2 linked regions of the Schizosaccharomyces pombe genome follow. The protein of the gene in region 1 purifies or fractionates together with the protein of each later gene. This does not show direct contact. Each region holds a gene or a part of one and is shown on either strand. Other genes may lie near its edges.

What was found. Proteins that work in one complex are often made in the same cells at the same time.
Region 2: the proteins of fnp1 (region 1) and cam1 purify together in Schizosaccharomyces pombe (co-purification; one study listed by BioGRID). This does not show direct contact.

The regions. Positions count from the first base shown.
Region 1 is NC_003424.3:4,640,313-4,644,279, reverse strand, and holds the start of fnp1 (folliculin complex subunit fnp1), read right to left. Parts: upstream 1,974-3,967; 5' UTR 1,786-1,973; coding exon 1-1,785. Other genes in the region: GTPase dml1, read left to right, coding at 2,141-3,538; cornichon family protein Erv14, read right to left, coding at 3,803-3,833, 3,915-3,967.
Region 2 is NC_003424.3:1,443,264-1,446,833, reverse strand, and holds cam1 (calmodulin Cam1), read right to left. Parts: upstream 1,985-3,570; 5' UTR 1,905-1,984; coding exon 1,902-1,904; intron 1,776-1,901; coding exon 1,326-1,775; 3' UTR 501-1,325; downstream 1-500. Other genes in the region: GARP complex subunit Vps53, read right to left, coding at 1-131. UniProt on the Schizosaccharomyces pombe protein: Calmodulin mediates the control of a large number of enzymes, ion channels and other proteins by Ca(2+). Among the enzymes to be stimulated by the calmodulin-Ca(2+) complex are a number of protein kinases and phosphatases.

The sequences.
Region 1 (3,967 bases):
AAATTTTAATCGCCAGCTGCTACTCAAATAATTTCGTAATGACGTTTTCCTAGGAGAATCAGCAAACGATGGTTTCTCTGAATGAATATCTATAGCTTTGCAAGAATCATTTATCTTCATATCATAGGAAGGTACTCGTAAAGAGCCAGAGACAGAAGGACAACCAAATGAAGTAGAAAGACTAGATGATGAGAGTATTCCAGAGTTGGGATATAATTGAATAGGATTAAGAAGCGTATCGGAACATTGCGCAATTGACGGTCGCATTAATGGAGCTAGTAGATATAAAAAACGTCGAGCTATTGGTGCTTTGCTAGACTGTAATAACACTTTAAAAGTAACATCATCTTTTTGGCGTTCCAAACAGAATTTTCGAGTAGCTGTTAGTAAATTGCTAAACAAGCACTTCTGGGCTGGAGATTTACACAAGTCGGTTAACAATCGCATGTTTTCCACCCATTTGCTGCCACTAAATACTGAAGGCTTAATCAATGGTGCCGAAAACCCAGTTTTCAGTAACAATATGCATTTGTGGAAACTCTTAGCTGTAATCAAATCTTTGCTAAGAGCATATGGTCCGAAACCTACTTTTGAGGATGAAGACTGAATTAATGGAATTCCTGTATCATTTTTGTTATCCCCCCCACTGCTAAGTGAAACAAACAAAAGATTGCGAATTCGTTCATCTATTTCTTTCTGCAAAGAAAGCGTAAAATTTGATAGCATAGTATAATAAGTACTGACAGGATGAACAATTTCGTCATATTCATAAGGTACAGTAATGATAAGAGCTAAAGCATACGAAGCTGGACGAGTGCGAGTATCGCTAAAAAGTGAAGGTGAAGAAAGCAGAAAATTAGAATTCGTGTTTTTGATGGATTGAGGAATAGTAATAAACGGAGGACTATTTAACCTGTTTCCTTTCTTTACGTTTTTTAAATCCTTTATTGATGTTGAGTTTGAAGGAAGAAGAAAACCACAATTATTGGAATCAGGCTTTTCTGAGGTATTGTTTGAAATTGCAGGCAAAATTTGTTGGGAGGAAAGAGGGGAATGCCCCCTGTTACACCGGAGCGAATTTTTAGATCGAAAAGGATCCTTAGCAGCTGTATGTAAGGCACAGCGACTTTCCAGTTGCTCATGCAAAGGTGTTAAAAAGGAAGAACTTGTATTCGAACGAGCTTTTTGACTGCTTAAAGTAGAATCTTTCATGTTTTTAGAAGAAGAAGATAAATTTGCTGCATTCTCAGGGATAGCGCTATCATTAAAAGACTTTAATAATGGACTGTCTTCTTTATTCGATTCAAAGGCATCGCTTGAGTTGGGTTTATTAGGGTCTTCAGAAAAGTTCGAACTACTATTTTCAAATAATGAAGTAGCAGATGCAATCGTTTCGTGACTAGAATTGACTACTGTACCATGTGTGTTGATTTGAAATAATTGAGTAAGCATATAAGACCTTGTGGCAGGATTAGGGGGATGAAGAATATGCAACTTTGTGGTAGTTCCTTTATGGGAGATAGGAATTGCTCCAAACATCAGATCAGTAAGTGGAGCATTTGCCGAGTCCCTAAGCACACTATCTCCTTTCTGACCATCCACATGATTAGAGTCAAACAAAACAGTTTTTTTTCGGTCTCCGATGTCTTGAACGAGGACAAGACGAAACGTTACATCCTTAGTACTTTGATATTGTTTGTCCAAACCATGAAGAAGCTCATAGGATTCTTTCGGCGATGAGTTTCTATTTGATGAAGATCCTGAATGAAATAAAAAATGAAGCATCTAAGAACGCATTACGCGGTAACTAATTTCTACAGGTTCAGTCTTTATGCTATGCTTCTACACAGAAAACAAAGCTTTGAATTGCAAAATTAAAAAAGGATGCTTAGAAATAACAGTAGCATGTACTGAAACTTCACTCTTACGTTAGTTTGACATTCCCCAGCAGCAGTTTCTCACTGGCGTTGGTTAGGTAGACAGAAGCTAGTAACGGTATAACTAACTCACACCAATTTTCTAATAACTAGGGTTATGGTTACGAAATCTATCTCAAGTATTGTTTAGATATTTAGAAAATACATGTATATACATTTTTTACAAAATACATTTAACAATCTATTAGGCATTTGCATATTCGATGCATGAAATATTAACAGTTACATTTGGAAGAAAGAGCAACTTCTGTTGGACGCATTTTTGGAACACTCAAGAGTCTTATTTTGTATACGATCCGAACGATCATGCAAAGGTTAATGTAAACACCAATTTCCGTGTACTGAAAAAGCGTGATCCAGAAGCTATTGTTACGGTTCCTCGTGAGTGCATATATGATACTCCAATTGAGTTTGGAAATACTAGAAAAAACTGGTTAGAGGAGTTAAATGAGTCATCAGGAGGAAAAGGTACAGCATGGGATGGTAAACTCACGCAGATTATGCAGACTCCAGTCGATGTGCATCCGTACCAAGAAGCACTTTGGAGTCGAGATGAGATCCATGAGGGAAACGCAATAGAATCAGAATATGAACTTCCTTCTATTCGTCCAAAAAGCGTTAAATATTGGTCAGATTTCAATCGGTTATTTTTAGATACTGAGTATTTATTTCCAGTAAACTGTTCGGAACTGAATTCATCGGACTTTTCATTTCAACTCGGTGTAGAAAGGTTTCATGATTTTGATAAGCAATTCAATGTATGGGATGAAGGATTGAGGCCGCTTGTTGAAGAATGTGATAGCGTCCAAGGGTTTCAAGCAGCAATAGACATAGACACTCCGTGGGGTGGATTTGCGAGCGAATACATGAAAGTAGTTCAAGATGAGCTAGGAGAATGTCGTGTTCCCACTTGGGTCTATGGGATTCGAGAGCCGATTCAGTCAGATTCATCCGCAACTATTGATAATCATTTCGGAAAACTAAATGAAGCACTTTCGTTATCTCAGCTCAACGGATCTTGTTCTCAGTACTTCCCTTTGTGTACAATATCACAAGGTGATGACCTTTGGGCTTCCTCCGCAAAAATTAATTTGGCTATTGAGTCCTTTACATTGCCCACAAGGGTTTACGGGTCTTCCTGCTACAGAATGAAAGATATCGAATCAAAGCTACAATCAGAAGGAAGAGGTTTTATCCATAATTTGAACTTTAAAGCAAAAAATTACTCGTCTAAAGAATGGGCACTAGTGAGTAGTGCCTCCTTTGTTAATGTTGCTCAAGATTACAGTCAGCAAAACAATTGTTTATTTGGAGTCGTACGCAGCCCCAAAGATAATCAAGGATTACTAGAAGGAAAAAATTATAACGCAAGTAGCATATCGAAAATAGTAAACATACAAAATTTAGGATTGCCGAGCTTAGAGACAGTTCCAGAAGGGTTGCGCACATTGGATACTGTTTTTGTGGAAGCTACGAATGACGGTCAAATTAATTCACACATTCAAGGTCTTACAAAATCTTTGAATCGTCGCTTTGTTTCATTTGTTGATCAAGATGAACTTGAAGAAATAAGAGAAATATTATCTTCATATATTATTTAGAAATCAAGGAATACGTTGGGCGAATAGTTCAAAGTATGAAATTTCCAAATACTTTTACAGTCCAATGATTACTTGAGAAAATTTCTAATAAGCTTGACTAAATGAGCTTTTCCCTCATTATCAGCTGTTTGCAACGAAGTAGTCGAAAGTTCATTACCTAATGTCTAATAATTAATGTCATTCAATCATGTAACTATTAAGAAAGAAAACAGTATCCTTTTTTTTTGCATTGGCTTTAGAATTTCCTCTCCAAGATTTTTAACATTATTCTTCTTGAATTAAGGACATGACCATACTATTATCCGTTAGTACATTATAAAAAATAGTGCCGCTAAAACAACAAGAGCATTTGCTCCAAAGAATAGCGAAAACTTACCAGTAAAGTAAAGTAAAAAACATTATAAGATAAAAGGTAACTTTAATAAAGTT
Region 2 (3,570 bases), 3.2 Mb from region 1:
CTTAGTCGTAATGAACCCAAATCATCATAAGTGATATCTTCTGGTAATAATTCGTGAAGCGTTTCTACAAATTTAAATTCATTATTCCCAATATTTTTGATAATTAGAGAATTATCATTTCCATTCGACATAGAGCTATAATTAATTTAGTTATGGTAATTGCTAACCCTTGATTCCAAAGTGTTATGTAATACAGCGCAGTATAGAACTCGAAGCTTTTTTTTTGGCAATTTTAAAGAAGAAAATTTCGTATAGTTAGGTACAAGTTTTCGACGGCGAAGGGATATACGAAACCATATAGCGGGTGGTTGATGGTGAGAGGAAGTTAGGTTGGCTTGAATAGCAAGTAGGAGGACATTGAGGTTTAGAACTGATAACTTTGTAAAAACTTTTTGAATATATATGTACCATGATGTTGAATTTTAGATAAGTTTTAACTTCACTAACTTGAACTTTACCGGCGCAGAGCCTTCCTTCTTAGGAAATGTCCATATTCCAATGATGAATTTCTGTTTACGATCGGAATAACTACGTGAAATGCAAAAAGAAAATAAACGATGTCATTTATGAATTTATGTTTAGTTAATACGTATAGCTTAGCTTCGACAAGTGCCGCACAAAATTTCATACTGAGAGATGTATTTGTATAAAGTAATGTATTAAGTACAAAACAAAGCGTATATCTACCAGAGTGAGAAAACGGCTTCAAGAAGTGCATATAACTAGAAAAATGCTAAAAATTTTAACATCGACTAGTATAATGAACAGTAAATCTTGAAGGAAAAAAGAAAAGGAAGATTGAGCTAAATAATGGGCATGGGAATTGCAAGGACATAAATGCAACGTATACAGCGAGTACTAGGCACATACTAGTACGAGCAAATGCATCATATAACAGACAGATGAAGCTTCTAATAATTCATTGTAGGATGCAATAATGCAAAAGTGCGTGGTATTCTCATAGCAATAACGTATATGTTCCCAGACTTAAGGATTCCTTTATGTGTTGAAACAAAGGAAGCGTTAAAATTCATAGGATCGATCATGAGATGAATGGTAACAACAAATGCTACCATAGTTACTTTTGTGACACACCTAGGCCAGCAAAATAAACAACCAAAACGTTGTAATACACTAACTAATGTTTTTCAAAATCATAGACGAAAAAAAAAGTAAAGGACAATAGCCGAGGTTAAGTTGGTAAAGAGATTGTCCAAATTGCGATGGAGAGTGGTTATAAAGAAGAACTAAAAGGGTGGAAACCCCAGCAAGGATATTTTGATTTTTTTAAGGCTTACAAATATTCCACAGAAATTCCAACCCTTCTACTTGGAAGAAATGACACGAGAGAATTCTTCGTAGTTGATTACACCATCGCCATCGGTGTCGGCTTCACGTATCATATCGGCTACTTCTTCTTGAGACAAACGTTCACCAAGACTTGTAAGCACATGAGTCAACTCCTCGACTGTAATGTATCCATTTCCATCTTTATCGAAGACTTTAAAGGCTTCGCGAACTTCCTCTTCGTTGTCGGTATCCTTCATTTTTCGGGCCATCATAGTCAAAAATTCGGTAAAATCAATTGTGCCATTACCATCGGCATCGACCTCATTAATCATATCTTGTAATTCGGCGGCAGTAGGCGATTGACCTAACGATCTCATAACTACACCCAATTCATTGGACGTGATATTTCCATCCTGATCACGATCAAACAGTGAAAAGGCTTCACGGAATTCTGCAATCTGCTCATCTGTAAGGTTACGGGTAGTCTGTAATAATGTACGATACGGTAGACGACTTCAGAAATCATTTTCTGAGTGTCATCCGTTCATACGATTGTTAGTCAATCTTCAAAGGAAAAATCGGAATATGTCCAAACAATATAATAAACATACCATTTTCTGGTAAAAATCAGTAACTCTAAAGTCCTTCTATTCCTTTTTTTAACCTTTATTTTTGGCGGTTAGTGTTTTGCTCTAGTTACGTTAAAGTGCCTTGGAGAAATGAGGACTACCGTTGTCGCTTCCTAATGTTGCAAGTCCTACCATCAACAGTGATGTCAACAAACAATGAGAGTTTATTACATTATCGTATATGCTCTAACAAACCAGTAACGTACTTGCTATAAACCGCACTAAAACCACTAAACGGCGGATGAAGGAACTTTTTCAATGTCAGCTACGCATTTATTGGTATCTATTTAACGACACCTAGAACTGCCGTGTGGTTTACTTGTGACCTATTGTATTATGGTACACAGGTAAATACATTTAGTAACTTAGAATGATATTCTGATATAGAGGTTATATTGTTACCTATCACCGAATTAGCATAAAAGTGAATAGAGAAACGAGGTTTTGTTTATTTCAATTCATAAAATTTAAGCATTCTATTATTTTTTTTGTTATTCATTTTATAACTCTTAGTAATCTACCTAAGTAACTTATCATGTACAGCTTGACAGAGCAAATCAAACATGTGATAATTAGTGATACACAACGTAGTATGCTATAGCGCAACGGAACGTTGTCGACATTCAACTTATATATCGTACTCGATGTTTAAATCGCAAAAGGATTTAACAAAAAATATTTGTAAATGCAGTATTTGGAAATGGTTATTACAGCGCAATTTTTTGCTGAATGTAAACAGAAAATCGTGTTTTTCACTTTCCTCTATGAGGTTGAGTTAGTGATATTATTATTCATGATATGAAAATATTGTTTTCATTTTGATTTATGGAAAATTAATTATTGAGCAGATTTACAAACACTGTCACGGTTTAAAGTCTCCAAATAATTGAGCAAAATGACATAGCTTTGAAAAATTTGCTAAACAAAAGCATTTTTGATAAGTGCAGTTCATTAAAAGGTTTTTTTGCACGTTTATTATGAATTGCATTTTTGTTGTGTAGCATAATCTGCTTTTGTATTTTTTGTATATGCCAATTTTGATCTGATAATTTTTCTAGTTGAACACTCAAATGAAGAAGGAAAACTGAAAAAGTAAATAACAATATATTATTCAAGCAGGATTTCATTGCCTGTATATATTTCGATATTAATTCTTTTCTAAATGATTTATTCAATGTATAAAAATCCAGAACCTCAACATCTGATACAATGACCGTAGCCGAATTTATTGATTTTAGTCTGAACGGATATTTTAATCGAATAAACAATATTTGTTGTTATTGATGTAACACAAAAAAAAATAAAAAAATAAATTCAAATTGAGCATTTTTTTGTCTTTAATAATCATAAATTTAGACGTCTTTTGTTTTTAAAGATTTTATAGTTTATTCTCATAATTTTAAATTTTTGCACTTCCTGTTTAAAGACATCTCTACAGAATGACCATGAAAATTTGAGTATAATTCCTTAAAAGATTCAAATTTATAAATCTCAATTGATTTAATAAAATGCTGTGAAATGGGAAGTTTAACTTTTAATAATTCGAGGTACTCATATCCTTCATAGAAAAAAAATAAAAAAATAAAAATAAAAATAAACATATAAAAAATAAAATAATAAGAATGATCGAGAATTTAAAGTATTTATTGTT